Caenorhabditis elegans: one gene and its partners. The protein of the gene in region 4 interacts with the protein of the main gene of each other region in a pairwise test. Each region holds a gene or a part of one and is shown on either strand. Other genes may lie near its edges.

Region 1 (4,675 bases), 810 kb from region 4:
GTTTTAAAAAATAAATTTTCAGATTTCCTGAAAACCTGACCGACTTATCAATTCGGCATAACCTCGTCTCCACAATTCACTATGTTCCAGCAAGTGCTAGAAATCTGAAACGCCTTGATTTGGCTGGAAATCGAATGGAATTTGTTGGTGGTTTGACGACTGGAGCTGTGAATGTATTGCCTGCAGAGTTGAAACACGTGGATTTGTCGAATAACAAGTTGACGTATTTACATGATCATGCATTTGAGCACTTGACAAATTTGATTTTGCTGGATTTAAAGTTGGTTTTGTATTGAAAAAGTATTTTCCGAACATTATTCTTGCAGAAACAACAGCCTAAAGGAAGTGAAGTCATCAAGTTTTGCTGGTTCCAAATTTCAAGTCAAATTGTTTTTATCCGAGAATCCACTACTATGTCACTGTAATCATAAATGGTTAATGGATTCTTCTGCTAAAGTTTGTTTTTGAAGTTTTTACACAATTTCTAATTTTTTGGTATTACGTTTGATATTTTTTAGAACATATCAATTGGAGACCTTCAGACAATTGAATGTCTCAATATATTGAAACCAGAAAAGAAAATGCTGCTCACGTTAGCTCATTCAAGGAATCAACTGCTCTGCAAATATTCTAATGTAAGTTATTTTATAAATGTTTCATTTTAATTGAAAAAACAATTGGTGGCGTACTACCAATATAATTCGATTTAAAAGAGACTAAGATGTATAGTTTAATAAAACCGTGCTGAGAAAAAGCCTGATATCAAACAACAGTAATTATATACCCAACAGACTTTAATTATGCTATCAAACATTTTCTTCAAAAAATTAATCGAGAAAATTGAACTGATAATTAAAAAAGGTTTCAAGGTAGGCTAAAAAAAATTTCAAATACATAGTAACTTTGAAACAGTAATTTTTTTCAGATGTGTGAAGCAGATTGTGAATGTTGTCAGAAAAAAGAATGTGAATGTCGTTTCGAATGCCCGCCGACGTGCAAATGCTTGAGATCTGCGGATGTCTCTATTGTGAGGGTATGATTTTTGGAAACTGGGAAATTAGATATTTCATCAATTCTAGCTTTTTGAAAAACTCATTTTGTGTATTTTCGAACTAAAAAAACAATATTGGAATGCTAAACTCTTTATGAAAAATGGGAGAGACGAAATAAAATCTAGCGTCTGGATCCGTCCTCGAAGAAGACTCCTCCATCGATAGCACAGTATTTTGGACAGATTCCCTTCTCTCCTGGAGTTCCATCGGATCCTGGAAGTCCTGGTTGTCCTGGAGCTCCATCTTGTCCTGGCTCTCCTGGTCCTCCACGTGGTCCTGGTTGTCCTGGGGATCCTGGAGCTCCATCCTTGCCCTTGATTCCAGCAACTCCACGTGGTCCACGTGGTCCAGCACGTCCTGGCTGTCCTGGTTGTCCTGGCTTTGGCTCGTCGGAGTGTCCTGGTGGTCCTGGTGGTCCTTGGGATCCTGGCTTTCCTGGGTGTCCGTTTGGTCCGTGTGGTCCTGGTTGTCCTGGTTGTCCTGGTCCTCCATTTGGTCCATCGTGCCCTGGTGGTCCTGGTGGTCCCTCGGATCCTGGCTTTCCTGGTGCTCCTGGAGCTCCTGGTGGCCCTGGTGGGCAAGCTGGGCATGGTGGTGGGGTTAATGGTTCACATGGTGACTGTGGTGGCTTTCCTGGGTGTCCTGGGGCTCCTGGTGCACCTGGGCGTCCTGGAGTTCCTGGGCGTCCGGCAGCTCCGACTGATCCAGCGGCTCCTGGCAAGCAGCATCCGTCGCAGCTATTGTGCTCCTGGGCTGGGGCGTCTTGAACGGCAACATCGTATCCAGCTTGACGCGCGGTACGGTTCCCTCTCCCGGGAAGAGCTGGCATAGCGACAGCGGTAGCATATACCGTGTTAACGGTGTCACGGCAGTGACGGAGCTCAGAGTGCATTTGAGAGCGGAGGTTGCTCACATAAGAATAAACGAGTGGAAGAGTAATGCAAACGGAAAGAATTCCGACAGCTGAGAGGGAGACTGCGGCATACCCGATGAGACGGTAGGCCTGAAAAATTGTATAATTTTCGAAAAATAAGAGTCATGAATGGTTTTTAAAATTAAATTCTAAAGCCTCTTAGAACTTTAAACTAAACCAAACAATTTGTGAATACCTTGATTTTGTTGTCCTCCATTTTTGAGATGATCAAGATTGGATGATGCCTTTCCATGTTAAACCCATTCCTTTTATACTGACAATTTTCTCTTGATCACTGTTTCCTTTTTTCATTTTTTTTTTCATTTTGTGTTACCAAATCTATGTCTCCACATTTCCCATTATCACTCATCCTATCACTATGGATCTATCTTTGTTGTCAGGTACGCCCGCGCGGTTTCGCTAACTTTACACTTTCCAATTGGTTTTTTCTTGGATGATAAGGCACAATAGAAGAGAAACGGAACTAATTTGAAACTTTTTTGGTTAACCCGGAACATTATTTCAGACATCTCAAAACATTATGGTTTGCGACAAACTTCGATGGGATAAGCTCGGAAAATTTCCATCCCCATTGACACAATTACATATGAATCAGACTGATTGGAAGATTTTTGAGGTTTTTTTTTCTTTGGAAGAATTCATTAGACATCAAGACTTTTAGACCGAGAAATTGAAAGAACTGAGCAACTTGCGAGCTTTGAAGATCACAAATAGCAAAATGACTTCAGTGGAAATGGTGAGTTATTTTTTGAATCCGGAGGTTAATTTTGAAAATTGAGGGAAACTTAACTAACTGGTTTTGTGTTCCTAAGGTTTTTCAAATATAGAACTATGTATTTTTCAATTATTTTATGCAATTGGATGTATTTATGTAAACAATTTTTTACTGTTTCGACATGCCTACTTATGCAGTATGATATTTGAAATTTTAATCCTGCTGTCATTGTGTTGTCCGAAAATTTCACCTAATTTAGAGCATCATCTAATTTAGTTAAATTCTAATCAATTTCCATATTTCGCAAATAATGTCCACAAAAAAATTATTTCAGGAAAAGCTCACTGATCTTGCCAATTTGACCCATCTCGAAATAACATCTTCTGCCATCACCTCAATTCCAGAAACCATTACAAAATTACCATCTTTAACTCATCTCTACTTATCTGATAACCCATTGGATCAACTTTCATCAACATCCTTAAATCATTTGGATGGTTTAAAAAAGGTTAGTCACTTCAAAAGGAAAGGACATTTGACCAGAAACCAGTTTATCTATGTTCCATCATGATAAGACAAAACAGTCATTTTTTGGTGGAATCATTGGGTTACAAAACGAAACTTTCCATTTCAGTTTGGTTGATAATAATAAAAGAGAAATTCAGATTCGATTGGGTGGGAATTTCAGCAGATTTGCCTGTGATTGTGAGTCACCATCGGATTTTCAGAGATGGTTGATGAGAAGAATTAATCGAGCAAAAGTAAGAACATAGTCACATAGTTTCAGAGCAAAAAAGTTTAAAAATTAATTTCTGTTTCATAAGTTTTACAAATATAGTAGTAAATTTTGAAATTTATTCCTGATCGCCAAATTGTTATGCACTCAAATGTGTAATGTTGAATTTTGTTTCTCCTAATGTTAAATTTAAAAATATTGAAGCTTTGTCAATAATACATTCATGGTGAGGGACATTTTTATTACTTTTTCGAAAAAGTTAAAAGTGAACGTGCCATGCTCAAGTTTTGAGCTGATCGTCATTATTTCGAATTATTGAAGGCAATTGGTTTTTGCCAGTAATAAACTAAAATTATTATACATTAGTTTTTATCTTAATTGTTTTCTTACTGAGAATGGGATTACTAAAAGCAAACTTTTCATTTGAAGATTTATGTACCATTTTAATTTACTTTCTGAAAAAAAACTGAGAAAAGTTTTTACTGTTTCAAAAATGCCACAAATCAAATTTTTTCAATTATTTTATGTTAATCAATATTTATTGTTCAAAATCTGATTTCGAGTGGTTTTAAAATAAATTTTTCAGATAGATGATATTGATGATTTATATTGTGATTTAAATGGTCATGGAACAGTTTGGATGTTGGAAGCTCTTCCAGGAACAAATGAAAGTGTATGCCTGGATCCAACTGAAGAAACTAAACAATGGATGACATTTGTGGAAAATGCACAAAAAGGAATAATGGAAAGAGTTTATACTTCAACTGAATCAACAACTAAATCTGAGAAAACAATGATGACAACTACATTGAAAAAGAGTATTTTGGATACGATGGATGAACTAGAAGGTGTCAAATCTACCGAAAAAATTAGTAATAAGTGAGTTGATTGGTTTGAAAATTCAGCGAAGCCAAAAAAAGTTTCTAAAAACTGAAAAAATTTTCAGAGTAATCTCAACGACAACCGTTCCCACAACAACTCCTCGATATCGCAAGAAATACAAGAATTATGACAATGAACCTCATAAATTTGTCAATGTTCTCATTTTCTTGCTCTTCTTATGTGTGATTATCTTGATAATTTCAATAGGAGTCACCGTATATTTGAAGTAAGTTTTCAAAATAAAATCTATTTGAATGATAGAATCAATAAAAGATTTCAGATTTTGGCATCCTGAAGAGCTTTTAATGAAGCGTCGGAAAAAAGAAAGACTTCGACCGGAAATTCAAAGAGAAGAA
Region 2 (4,491 bases), on a different chromosome or scaffold from region 4:
GAAGACCGTTGCCTGGGAAGAAAAAAGAAAACAGAAAAACGAACCGATCTGAACTGTTATCATTCCTTGCAATCGGCAATCGTGCCGTTGTGATGGAAAATAGAAAAATGACGGAAGTTATTTCTTAAAATTTGATAGGGGTAGCAACATAAAACTTTTCCTTTGTTGAAAATGTTTCAGGATTTTTAGAACCTATTTTCGCGAGTGTCAATAAAAACCAGATAATACCATTCGGCAATCCAAAATTCCGAGTAGAACATTGCAAAATCTATAATTTGGTAAAGGGACGAGCTTTTGTTATGTGACAGAAAAACATTTCAGGTATTCATTTTTTAAAATTCATTGCAATTTAACTTTTCCGAAATTTTACCTCACAACTGCCAAGTTTTTGAGCTCGATCTTTTCCGGTTTGCTGAAAGAGTGAGAAGCCTATTTCTTTTTTGACAGCTCCAAAAGTGGCAAATACCAAATTGCAGAAAATGTTTTTGTGCCCATTCCCAATTTCCACTAGTTGAGGTCACAAAAAAAGTTGATAAAAAGCCTCGTCTGAAAAAGTGTCCACAAAAAAAGTATACAATTCAATTTTTATTAAAAATTACTTTAAAACTGAAATTTACAGGCAGGTTTTGATCACATTTATGCCTCGTGATGTATTTTCCACAACTAGCTGGAGGCCTACATTCCGCAGCTCAACGTTGCCATTGTTTCTATAAAATTTCGCATCTGGTAACTACTCTAAAGTTTTGGTCTTCCTAGAGTTTATTCGCCGTAAAGAATTTTTTTAAAAATTATAAAAAATTAAATTTCAAATATTAGTTTTTTGATTCATTAGTGTGAATTAAGTTTTGTTAACGCGAAAAAAAGTTTCAAAACCTTAAGCTCAAAACTAAGCGTATCGAAGAGCTTCTTTAACTTTTGTGTTTTCATAATTTCTATTACCAATATTTTTCCACATTGTCACCGTTCTTTAAACGAATCATAATAGTTTTGTTTTACGAGTCACCTTCCTTTTAAATGACCGTCCATCATTACATTCACTCATTTTCACTTTCTATCTCTTCACCTTTCTTTTCCTATTCATCCAATTCTCTTTACAAGTTCAATTAATTTCAATAGTTTTATTGGTTTCTTGTTGAAGAGCCCCGTGAAATGTTTCGACAGGTATTATAAATACAAGTAGAGAGAAAGAGAAATAATTTAAGCAAGAAAATAGCAATTGAGGAATTAATATCCTGGAGCAGTTCTTGGGATTGGGCAGTGATCGCATCCTCCTGGAATTAGGGAATGATAAGAGAAATGTACAAAAATTGAATAAATACTTACCCTTGGCTCCGTCCTTTCCTGGCTCTCCAGCCTCTCCTGGTGCTCCTGGGTTTCCTGGAGCTCCATCTTGTCCTGGCTCTCCTTGTGGTCCTGGTGGTCCTTGTGGTCCTGAGTTTCCTGGGCGTCCATCCTCTCCTGGTGGTCCTTGGGCTCCTGGCTCTCCTGGCTGTCCTGGGTTACCTGGTGGGGCTGGGACGGTGCGGACTTGTCCGGGGGCTCCTGGTTGTCCTGGAGTTCCGTCATTTCCTGCGGTTCCTGGTGGTCCTTGTGGTCCTGGGGCTCCTGGGGCTCCTGGGCGTCCATTTGGTCCTTGCTCTCCTGGTGCTCCTGGCTGTCCTGGTGGTCCCTTTGGTCCTGGGTTTCCGGCGTTTCCGGCTGGTCCTGGTGGGCACTCGAAGCAGAAATCGGCTGGAGTTGGTTGAACGTGCTCATTTGGAGCATCTGGTCCTGGGGCTCCTGGGGCTCCTGGTCTTCCGTCATTTCCTGGGGCTCCGTCTTGTCCTGGGTTTCCAACGGATCCAGCTGGTCCAATTCCGCAAGAGCAGCATTGGTAGGTTTGACGCTTCTCACGGCTCTCAGCTTTACGGAATTGATCGAGCTTGGTGTATTCTCCACGAAGAGAGTCGGAACGAGTACGGCAGAAATTGATCTCATCTTGAAGTCCGGATTGAACGTTTTGCATGTACATGCAAAGCATTGGGACTGCAACGATAGCTGTCAAAGTGGCAACAGTGGAGACTGCAATTCCGAAGAACGCGAATTTCTTCACGGTCTCGACCTCCACAAGCTTTTGCTTATCGTCTTGGCTCATACTGTAACAATGGAAAATGATGGATTGAAGTTTAGAAATCAGAAAGTCAGAAATTATGAGAGTTGTTTAGAGTTATAACTACAAAAAATAATGTTTAGATTATTTTTAAAAATTTAATTAAAAATAATTAAAGAATAATATTTAGAAGTAATAATGAGAATAAAATGAGAAGATGAAGCTAGAATGAAGCAAAGATGTGTTTCTCCTCTCGCCATCACCGGTCTTATAAGCGATTCGGGTCTGCAGCGGTCGCCTACCCTTTTTGCTCCTTTTTTTGTTGTTCTGTTGAATATCGCCTAAGCTTTTGCCCAAAATATTGTTCATTTTGAGGAGAGCGTCAGAGATACATCGCCTCTCTTCGACTTATCAGATACATGTCTCGGAGTGAAGCACCACCTACCCGACGCCCTTTCCCATGCCATGAGAGAAGAAGCTTGATCCGCTTGTAAGAAGAGGGAAAGAGAGAGAGGTAGTTGTAGGTGATATGCTGGTGATCTGATCATTACTTTTATGATTATGATACTATGAACATTATTTCAAAGTTATTTCAAAGTTGCAATGATTTAGTTCCTCATTTTTAAAATCAACTCGGAACAGTGAATTGAGGTGCTCAGTTTGTTTTGTAGATAAACGTAGAGGGGCAGTATTTCCTAAAAAGGAGTTTGATGTATAGTTTGCTTACAAGTATACTCACAAAGGCCTGACGTTAATACTAGGGTGTCACAAAATTGGCATTCAGCTCTGCTGTCTGTAATGTAAATTCTTGTTGTTTTTGTTTTTGTTTTTTTTTTTTGGTAATCAATGTTCTAGATTTTTTAGGGAATTCGTGTTTTTTTAAAACAAATCTGGAACTTTAATCGAATATTTTTAAATTGACAGAAATATTTGTTTTTAATTTAAATAAACTTTCAGATTATTTGTCTATTTCTAAGCACTCTCGAAATATTCAGAAGTCTATTAAAAATGTGTCAGGGCAATTCCATGAGCTTCGAAATCTGATTTTTGAAGAAATAACTCTGAAAGAATTTCAGATCTAAGTTCCAGAATGTAGGACCTCATCACTTGGAATTTTTTTCCAAAAATTTCGGTAAATTCTAAGATTTTTCGTTTACTGATAATATATTAAAAATTGTACTTTTCTTAAGAAAAATTTCAGCTTTTGAGCTTTTGGTATACTTATTCAACATTATTCTCCTTCCGCGTTCCAGTACTCTGACCAACTGATGGCGGCTGCGTCAGAACATCATTTTTCTTCTGTTCATACCTTGTCATAAACTTCTTCTGTCCCTTTAGCTTCATTCTTTTGATATCCCCTTTTTTTAGAACCTTTCTTCTCTTTATGTACACATACTTCACATTCTCATTATCAAATGATAACAGTCAGGTATAGATGATGAACGAATGAAAGTAGTGATACGCGTATTGATAATGTGAATTGGATATATATTCGGTTCACTGTGTTATTCACTTTTTGCCCATCTCCAAGGGCAGACTTTCGGCTGGCAATTGGGTGTGGCATGTGAACAACGTTTATGAAGACGTTCCAAAGATGCATGTGATTGTTCGAATCAGGTGGTTTGTTTGTGATTGTCACTGTCATTTGCTGGTAAGATTGATGGAGAAGCTGAAATAATGTGAGGTCCAACATTATTACAGTAATCATCAGGTTCAATAGATTAAATGCATTTTGATAGGTTTCGGGTCAAGCAATCTGATCAATGATCCATCATGTAGTTGCCAGTTACAGTAATCCTGAAAGTGCAAAATTATCCGGGGTGTATGTTCAATGTCGGCTTCACAACCACCTATCGTATTTCATCGTTTTGTATTGTACCCCATTGTTCAATTTTGTCAGCTTATATCTCACTTTTTCTATACAAAAATGTCCACTAACAAAATATTTGTTATTCCTTTTTCTATTTATTTGGATTGTGATCAATAAAATGTATTTGCAATATTTTCATGAAACCTGTTGAAAGAAGAAAAAACGTTCGAAGAAAATTAGAAGGAAGTTAAATCAAGTTAAAATTGTTAGAATGTGTCGATATACTTTCTAATTTTTCTGATCTAAAAACCCAATTCTTTGAAACTGCAAACAACCGGGGATGAAAAAAAAATCATCTACTAAAAAATTTATTTCATTGAAAATGATACTAGTTCTTATTCGGCGGCTTTCTCCACAACTCAATCAACTTTTTCAATCCATCGTACATCTGACGAACGGCTTGATACTCAGTAAGTCCAAGGCGTTGCTTGTTCGAGATGTCATAGATTCCTTCCTTCAAATCCGAATATTCTCCGTGAATTCCACGAATCTGAAAAACTCACTGTAATTTGCTGAAAAGAAACTTGAAAAA
Region 3 (4,739 bases), on a different chromosome or scaffold from region 4:
TTTGCCGACTCTTCTCACCTGCACACGGGTTCAAGTGGGAATCATTTGGAATTAGTGCTAAAGGTGGTGATCAGAATACGAAAGGGTCATTATGGTTCCCGCATTTTAGAATGTACATATAATTTGAAATGTATACGATTATCGTGTTAGCAAATAACTAGGAAATTTTTTCTGACTACATTTAAAAATTTTATCTTAAATAATCCATCCATTAGTGATATTTTGGGACAAGTGACGCGGTCATGCATCGAGTTCAGGCAAGTTTAGTAATAGTGGGAGTGTGCATAGTTTTTAAATATGAACCCTTCTTTTTAAATAATGAACCCAACAAGCAGGTATAACTAGGGGCTGATAATGGCTGGCTTCCTGCTGGTCCGTTCTTTATCAAATTTGTACATGGAAAATACTTGAAGATGTTTATTTTTTTGAAAAGACTGTCAAGAGTGTGAGAATTTGCTTTTTGAAAATTTGAATCTGAATTTTTCAAATGTTTAATAACTATTTTCTTCTACTTTCTGAAAAATCTCCTTTGCTTAAAATCCTTCATTAATTGCAGAATTCTCTTCTCACTAATTTGCAAAACATCTTCTCATCAAATCTTGTTTTCCACTAAAATCACACAGATTTTCGTAAGAATAATGAGCGCGTTTTCAATGATGAGCTATATACCGACAAAACAGCATGCCAATTGTGATGAAATAGAAGCTTCAATACAACGACTACTTCTTCTACGGTAGTGAAATCCGCTAACTAATTGGGAATAATTGCTGTATTGCATATGCATAAGTTTTTGTATTAACACCACGAGTATGAGGGAGGAGTGATGATGAAGTAATTCTTCTGGAACTATGTTACATTGGAGCTCACCACAGGACACCTTTTTGCGGTGACTCAAGAAACAATAGAGCAAGTCATGAGGTGTCAAATGTTCAAAGTACCCATAGAGCCAGTTATAATTAAGTGTGACATGTAAACGGAAGGAACTTTTCTTAATATTCTTTGTCTTGTATTTGATGACGTGGCAACAATATTTTGCACAGCAGGTCTTACTCCTCTTGTTGCTAATAAGTTTGTGTGAGTATGTCTACTCAACATAATAAGTTAAAAGCCTTCTAGCGCTTCTGCCGTCTATAATGCAATAATAGTCTTCGTTACTCGATGCTCAATTTCTTCGTTTAGTCAGGTCAGCCAGTCGTCTTTCCCTATTTTCTCTCCAAGCTTTAAAACGTTTGAAGGGGTACAGTGATATGCACAAAAAATGCACAAGTTGTTGGGGAAGTGGTGAACATCTGTGGAAAGGTTCAAATTGCTCAGTTGCACAATGACTATTACTAGACGCGTGTCGCTCTCAACACGTTCACACTTGTTATTGTTATTGTACTGGCTCAATCGCATTGTATTGTAACATAAACACGTAATTAGAGGGAGATGATGAGCATGAGAGGTCGAATTGTGCCAAAAGTGGAAAACGGCTGTAAGTAGGCTTTTCATGTAGGCACAAACACTGCCTGTGGCCTTTGTCTACCACAAAAGTACTGAAAGGTGCGTAGTAGGCATGCCTGAATAAGTACAAAATTTTAAGAATAAGTACAAGACTTACATCGTTAGTGAATTTGAAGAGTTTGCAAAATCAAAATTATTTTGTCAATCAAGTTAATACTTCTAGAGTATTTGGCCAAGAATCTTTTGTAGACCATTTGAAAATTTTCAGAAATTGAGTTGATTGCTAAGCTTTTCCAATTTCTTGATGAGATATTTGAGGTTTGAAAACATTATGTAAATTACGTTTTGTTTTTATTGGAATTTTAATTTCACCTATATGCTAGATATACTATTCCAGATCATCAAAACTGGCAAGAAAAGAAGACTCCAGACCATATACAAAAAATGAACACGTCATCATAATACACGACTGATCGAAAATGACACAACTGATTAGTTTCAATATTTTATTCTAGTACTGAACATTACGAGACAATCAATTTCCATATTTTGCTCATCGTCACTTAAGTGGTTGTTTATTCTTTCATCAACCGCCTACAATATTGCCTACGGCAATACTGTCATTCACAATCATTATCCCTCTCATCAACTCTTTTTTCTTCTTCTCCTTGTCGTCTTTCACGGGACCTTCATCTCTATTCGCCGACTCCGCCCCCTTCCGATGCCGTCTGAAGCTCCACCCATTGTGCTCCTATGGGAGCACCATATTACCGTGTTAGCTCATTTACACGAGAATCTTACCTCCCGTAAAATAATCTTCAAACTTATTTGAAAATGATAACTCCTGTATCAAGTTTTTCAATTGATGATCTTCTTCGTGGGCATTCAAACGAAATTCAAAGAATTCTGAAGCTTGATCAAACATCGCCCACTCCCCAATCAAGTTCAGATGAGGTATGTTCTTAAACTATTTTTCTCGTTTGGGTTTTGTAGTCACCATAGGCACTCTGCAAATATTTAAACAAACATATCAGGAATGTATTTCGCTCAATTATCAAAATTGAATTTAAATATAATTTTTCCGTTTTTTTTGGCCTTTGGTCAATGATTTCTTTAAAATTGATTCAAAATAAGTCGCAACTTCATTAAAAAATATTTTGTTTCCTTGATGTGATGCTTGTTCTTTCACAATTACTTAAATTCAACAAGTAATATTTCAATAAAATATGTAAATTTGATCATCAAAAATTACTCTATCGGTTTACTTCCAGGGATCAGAAAAATCATCGATATCCGTAATGTCAGTTCCATTGACAAATGAATTAACTCCCACAATCACTCCTGCTCTTTCTGATCAGCTTTGGCTTGCAGCAGCAGCGTTTCCAATAGAACATAGTCTCTTGTTGGCTCAACGAAATGGAGTTTTTCCTGGATTCTGGTCAACAGCTGATCAGATTCGATTGTCAAATGCAACTAAAGCGTATAGAAGATTGAGGTTGGAATGGTAATGATTGAAATTTATCAAATATAATTATTCTTCTGTTTTCAGTTCGCGAAGAAAAGCAAGAACAGTGTTCAGTGATCAGCAACTACAAGGATTGGAACGAAGATTTGAATCCCAAAGGTGACCAAAAATGCATTCCGAGTTTAGTATTCTAAATCAGACTTTCAGATATCTGAGTACTCCTGAGAGAATTGAATTGGCAAATGCTCTCAATTTGAGTGAAACTCAAGTTAAAACATGGTTTCAAAACCGACGAATGAAGCACAAGAAAGTTGTCAGAAAAGATGATAATAGTGTGGATGACGACAATGGAAATGATAATGAGAGCGAATAAGTATATATATATTTACCGGTAGATTGTCTTTTCTCTATGAATATTTATTTAAAGAATATTGATGTATTATATTATTGCATGTCCAAATAAAGTCAAATTTCTAACAGATATTTTATTACCAACTTATATTTATGATTATGAGGAATAAGTCATGGGGTATTACTTTAATTATATTTATCTCACATCTTATAATTCAATTTTGAACTTTTTGATTTGCCAATTGCCCATCAGTCCTCAAAAAAACGAAACTTTGAAAAATGGTTGTTAAATTATTTTATTCCAAATCATAATACAATAGGACACTTATTCATCGAAGAAGTTGAATGTACATTTTCCGATTTCCCACATATTAGTTGGAACTGCAGCATTGTAGTCATTCCACAACAAAGTACGCTGAAGATTTTTAAGTTAAGCTTGAATAAAACAAAACGTTTGTTACCGTATCCATTTCAATATCACAACCAGGTGCCTTGATAACATGAATATTGAATGATGTGCTCTCTGTAACTGGAAGCTTGAATTGATCCTGATAGATTGGATTTCCTTGCATTTCTCCGAACACCATGTCAACCTAAAAACTATGAAATTGAAGATTTATATTTGATTTTAAAAAAACTAACGTAGTTTTCGTTACTTGGTTCTCGTGAGACAGTGAATTTGAACTTTGTGAGCTCACTCACACCCGGCAATGGATAAGCAACATCTGAAAATTTCCATCAATTGAGAAGTTAATAATAATTCAAAATACCAGACTGAGGAGAGACGTAAAATCCTTCGTTGAGAAAGAAATCGACAGTCTCGGAAAGTTTCATTCCTGTTTTGTATTGGTCAATTGGTAACTGGGTGATCCAAAGTCTGAACCAGTGGCACTTATTCGTCGATAGAGTGAACATTTTGTAAGCATTGGAAACGTGCTGATCGTTCTGGAAAGGTTTTTTTTTAACTCCAAGTAATTAATGTCAGGCATGATACACGCAGACAGAAGAAAAAAAATCTATGATCTGGAAAATATAACTAACTGGAATATGAACAGGATACGTGTTGACCGAAACTCTCTTGAACAAAGCTTTCTGTATCAAGGGATTATCTTTCTTTCTTCCTCTGCCAGCGGATTTCAATCCTCCAACGGATTCACATGTCTTCTCACGGTTCGCCAAAACTCCATTCTTCATGTCTAACGTTTTAAGATACTGAAATAATCAAGATTCGGAAGGATGTGATTATCCAAACAACTAACTGCAAGCAAGTCGATAGACTTTTTAGCGTCTTTCTCTTTGACTGGAGGCAAGTAGTCGGTGGCAACTTGTGTTCTCCGATCGTTCAGCCATTTTGGAAAAAGACCCTTCGTATCCTTTTGAACAGCTTTACGGAACAATGGATAGTAAGTTGAACCGATCTTATTGACTTGGCACATTCGGCTGGAAAAAAAATCTTCCAACCCCAGACAAAAATTAATAT
Region 4 (4,690 bases):
TAACTCCAATTTCGTGAGAATACTCAACAAATTGTTCAATCTGAAGGAATAATTATAGTTTGAAATTTCATGAAAAACGTTTCTAAATGACTTACACCAACTCGAGCTGCAAGAAGAAGCATTGCATTTTGCTGAACAATTTGACTATCAATGGAAGGAAGTTGACGAAAATTGATTATCGAATCTTTTTTCTCGTTATTCGAAGGTGTGGAATCGAATACTGAAATTTAATATTATTTCTGTTTATTTTCTTTATTTTTTTTTCCAGAAATTTATCACCGTCCATGTTATCGTCCATTTCAGTCAGTCACATCATAAAGCTAAAACAAACAGTTTTTAAGCATATTTTCTTATTCTGTACTAACACTCAATGTCTATTATAAAATGTTGTTAATGTTGTTTTACTTTTATTTTGTGGATAAGTTCAAAGCGTTACGAGATCCTAAGGCATTTTGAAATCAAAAAATGTTTGAGCATAAAAGCTTGATTTTGTAATATTTGTACGATTTTTGTAATATAGTATGAAATAACGGGCTGTTTTTTTAATCAAAACTTACCACCATTCTCGTCGCTGAGTTGGGTTTCATCGTTGTCTTCAAGCGAATCTTCGTCAAAAACATAAATATCACGAATCGCTGCTTTCATTAATTCTTCGGCGAATGTAGTGGCAAGAAAGCTGAAAAATAATTCTATAATGTTTTTTTTATTTTTTCAGGTTCCTTTTTTCCGTCAATCAATTTATAATTTTCAAAATGTCTAGAAAATTGAGCATGAAATGCGATTTTGTATTCAAAAATAATAACAAAAATTTCATTTTCATAACTTTCGACTGCAACTTTCGACTTTTTCGGAAACTTTGCAAAAAATAACCTATTCCGCAATGTCATTCCAACGTGTTTCATAGAAAATGGAAAAAAATGGCGCTCCTGATTTTCAATTTTTCGGTATATAATTTTTGATATGTACTTTGTATAAGTGCTAATTTATTTAAGGTGAATACTCGAAAAATTCCAATTACTTATTCAATCAAAAATTTCAATTTGAAAACTCACGAGTAAGCCATCGAGGAAACCGAGGTAAGTGCATCGACAGCATTTTTGATTGGAACCTTTTTGGGATCCAAAGGGTTGTACGGTCCAAATCTTTCAGGTTTTTCACTTTTATGATCTTCAAGAAGGTCGGATATTTTAAAAAGGATTTGACAATCATCCATTTGTCGACTCTGAAATTAATAAAAATCGAGACTTTAAACTAATTGAAATATTTACCTCAATTATATCGAGAAGGTTGGAGACCGGGGGAAATCGACACTTGTCCGATGAGAGGAAATGCTCAAAATTGAGAATTTTGAGAACAGTTGAGATGGCTTTTGTCGGAAAATGCTCACAGTCATCGTCTTCGATTTCGATGGCAATTGTGTGAAGGCAATCGTAAAGCTAAAATATAAATTTATTGAAATTTTTTTAGTCGAACAAAAATAGCTCACCCTAGCACCAAAGTGGTAAAAAGATGAAAAAACTCGTTGTCGTTTTTCTTCGTCTGCTCCATCCATATCCATTTCTAATGGAATGAGGTGATTGAACATATTAAGGTGAGCCATTCCACCTTTGGCTAAACTAACACGGTGGTCTCGTCGCTTCTGAAATTTTTAAAATAATTGATATTGGAAAATTCTGAATTTTTAAGCAAAAAGGAAAATACAAAGAAAAATGATTGTTTTAACTGAAACAATAATCTTAATGGTAACTTTTCAAAACAAAAATTTTCTTCCGGAAACCTATGTGGCAGGTGAAGAGGATAACCCATAATTTCAAAATGTTGGAAAACAATTTATTGTGTTTCTTCCATGAAAGTAAGACACAGGCGATGTTCGGAGAAGTTGTAGGCGCGTGACAGACATAATACACGTCTTCTTCCATCTGCCCTTTTCGTTTCACTATCGGAACAACGGCATGGCAACGGGCATGAGGAGGAAAGGAATTAGGGAGGATGTGAGAAGATGAATCGATGGATGATAGTGATAAAGAAGGAACATATTGATTATTGTTCGCAATAACATTCTAGAAAATTTAGAAAATCCTAAAATTAGCATTCAAAAAAATAAATGACTTCGTAGATCCGAAACGCATGTTACTTTTTGAATTAAACATAATGATTTCTTAACAATCGATATAAACAATTTTCTCAAATATATTAAAACTAACTTTATCAAAACTAGAAAAAAATTATGGAGGATAATCCGAATACTCGCGCATAACGCATCCTCCTTTTCCCTAACGAAATCCAGTTACGAGCAATAGAAATGTAAACGAAGTAATATGAAAAATGATTTTGCAAACTTCAAAAATTAAATGAAACTGAAAAATTCAATATTCCTCCCAAAACCATGCAAGAATTGAGTCTTGGAAAGCTGGTTGGCAAATTCGAAAGAAAATAATGGGTTCGTAAAAGCGTCAGCACGAGAATTGCGCCAGCAACTTGTGCTGACGCATTTGCTGTGCGTGCTCCCAAAAAATAAAAAAAAGGTTTTTATGTTTTGTGAATAAAAAAAAGTTCTGTACAGAATTCTGTTTAAATGTTTGTAAAAAACAGAAATCGACAATTCGTGATAAAGAAGAATAGTTTTAAAAATTGTGTTATTTTAATATTAAATTTAATGTCACGTTTCCAATTATTTGGATTTAAGAAAACGTTTTATAAAACCTGAAAATCAAAAAAAAATCATTTCCCAATTGAGTTTTCATACAAACCGATCGAATTATGAAGAAAAATGAAAGCGGCAGCGTAAGACAACTGAAACGATTCAAAATAAACATAAATGAATTAAGTTGGCTCTTGATAAAGATTTCAACATTGACAAGCTTTTGCCAAAGGAATTGATCGACCATTTCATGATTCGAAAGCCAATAGGAGTTCGTGTACACAAGCAGGATTGTCGGGTAATTGTCAAATAGTATTTATTCAAATTCTTGAGCTCTTGATCTTGATTTTGGGACACCATACATAATTCATATTCAGATCACACATGTCCTTCCTGAATCACATCTTATTGGAAAAGCATTTCTAGGTGATTGTATCACTGCAATCGATGAAAAAGTTATCCACACTAGTGACGAGTTGCACCAAAAGTTGAAAGAGAAAACTGAGGTGTTAATATTTCTGAATCGAGTGTTTGCAAACGAAAATTTCAGAATATTCATCTACAACTGAAACGTAACATGTTTTCCTGGTGTTTTCATATTCGAACAACTGTTGAGAAAATCCAAATTGACAGAGATTTAGAGAGAATCACTCCAAATCCTGTTAACCATTACTTTGTGAGACAGCTTTTTAAAAATTAAAAAAAAAACTTTCTTATTTTAGGTTCTCATAAAAGTTCGTCCAACTCCTGAAATGCAATTCATTGACTTGGGATTATTTGTCAAATATAACAATAGAGATCGTTTGGAGGTAATTTAAACTTACAGTAACCACCGCATTTCATTTTCAGGTTGATTATGTTACTCCAAACAGCTTAGCATCCATCCATCTGAAATCTGGAGATGTCATTCGGGAGTGTAATTCTCAGGCAATTTGCTCGAAGAGCATGCTCCGTTATTGTATTGCGAGCAGCATCGCTTCTTCTGGACACTTTACGCTTCTTATTGAAGCACCAATTCGAGATATTCTCAGAGATCACATTGATTTGGCAGATGATGTTGTGGCAATTGCTGATAAGGCGGTAGAGGAGTTCAGAAAATTGGGGAAAGGATATCTACCACAACAACCGAAGAAAGGAGATAAGAAGAAAAACATCAAATTGAAAGAGGGACGTACAGAACATCAGATCGTTAGTGACATTGATCCTGCTAAACTGAGAGCGTGTAAAAATGCTAGCTGAATTTCTCTGATAATAAAGTTTCTACATTAAAATCCTTAAACATTCATAATTAAATATTATACGTTAACAGCAAACAAAATAGTGTAAGAAACAAATATGAGAAAAACTGCGGTTCAAATGGGTTCAAATAAAGCCAGGAACTAAAATGCGAACCGGATATGGATAATTTAAAGATGTAATAGCAATTTATCGTACGAGTTGAAGAGTCTGACCAACAAGAGACGTCACGTCAACTGTTGGATGGACCGCCGATCCATCGACATTCTTCAAGGCAATCTTACCGTTCCAGAGATCAAGAGCAGAGCGAACCTGAAACAAAAACAGATTTAACATTTTAAATTTCTAGGAAAACCCGATAAACATACGTGATATAGAAGATCAGCATATCCCTTCAGGTGTTCTTTTTCTGTTTTCACATGAACTCGAACTTTCTTTGATCCATCAACAACAGTGATCCCATCGAAACTGTCACCTTCGGCGAACAACCAAAGCTGAAAATAATTGTTCAGGAATATTAGAGAACATCAACAAAAACGGAATTTACCTCAACTTCTGAATCCTTAATTGCACTCTTGCTGGTGGCAGTTGGAGCCTTTGCAGCGGCTGGTGGTGATCCCAACTTGATAGGTGTTCCAGTAGCGGATACAATGTCATTCAATTTGGCAGCAACAACCTTTGCGAGTTGAGAATCAGCTGGACTAACAACAATATGAACATGAGCAGTATCAGTAGATACAAGTTTAGCCTGTTTGCGAAGACGTTGAACACGATTTGTCACTTCTCTGCAGAGTCCTTCTTCAATAAGAGACT

Evidence for each region.
Region 1: the proteins of mpz-5 (region 4) and col-122 interact in a two-hybrid assay, tested with the Caenorhabditis elegans proteins (one large-scale study listed by BioGRID).
Region 2: the proteins of mpz-5 (region 4) and col-73 interact in a two-hybrid assay, tested with the Caenorhabditis elegans proteins (one large-scale study listed by BioGRID).
Region 3: the proteins of mpz-5 (region 4) and tab-1 interact in a two-hybrid assay, tested with the Caenorhabditis elegans proteins (one large-scale study listed by BioGRID).

The regions. Positions count from the first base shown.
Region 1 is NC_003282.8:9,560,895-9,565,569, reverse strand, and holds col-122 (Nematode cuticle collagen N-terminal domain-containing protein), read right to left. Parts: upstream 2,192-4,675; 5' UTR 2,183-2,191; coding exon 2,162-2,182; intron 2,056-2,161; coding exon 1,174-2,055; 3' UTR 1,129-1,173; downstream 1-1,128. Other genes in the region: lron-14 (eLRR (extracellular Leucine-Rich Repeat) ONly), read left to right, coding at 23-280, 327-456, 519-635, 926-1,033, 2,492-2,602, 2,648-2,722, 3,036-3,209, 3,367-3,462 and 3 more.
Region 2 is NC_003280.10:4,870,993-4,875,483, forward strand, and holds col-73 (Nematode cuticle collagen N-terminal domain-containing protein), read right to left. Parts: upstream 2,138-4,491; 5' UTR 2,135-2,137; coding exon 1,324-2,134; intron 1,272-1,323; coding exon 1,225-1,271; 3' UTR 1,106-1,224; downstream 1-1,105. Other genes in the region: F11G11.15 (Ovule protein), read left to right, coding at 3,853-4,110; F11G11.13 (arginine kinase), read right to left, coding at 4,288-4,449.
Region 3 is NC_003280.10:6,801,481-6,806,219, forward strand, and holds tab-1 (Homeobox domain-containing protein), read left to right. Parts: upstream 1-2,220; 5' UTR 2,221-2,277; coding exon 2,278-2,397; intron 2,398-2,714; coding exon 2,715-2,947; intron 2,948-2,992; coding exon 2,993-3,067; intron 3,068-3,115; coding exon 3,116-3,281; 3' UTR 3,282-3,383; downstream 3,384-4,739. Other genes in the region: F31E8.5 (DUF4091 domain-containing protein), read right to left, coding at 3,585-3,674, 3,721-3,852, 3,902-3,984, 4,030-4,204, 4,301-4,471, 4,519-4,699.
Region 4 is NC_003282.8:10,371,856-10,376,545, reverse strand, and holds mpz-5 (PDZ domain-containing protein), read left to right. Parts: upstream 1-2,723; 5' UTR 2,724-2,760; coding exon 2,761-2,784; intron 2,785-2,828; coding exon 2,829-2,939; intron 2,940-3,018; coding exon 3,019-3,147; intron 3,148-3,191; coding exon 3,192-3,317; intron 3,318-3,363; coding exon 3,364-3,450; intron 3,451-3,490; coding exon 3,491-3,880; 3' UTR 3,881-3,908; downstream 3,909-4,690. Other genes in the region: Ankyrin repeat and KH domain-containing protein mask-1, read right to left, coding at 1-40, 96-220, 558-676, 1,053-1,222, 1,269-1,436, 1,487-1,600; iars-1 (Isoleucine--tRNA ligase, cytoplasmic), read right to left, coding at 4,067-4,189, 4,246-4,371, 4,425-4,690.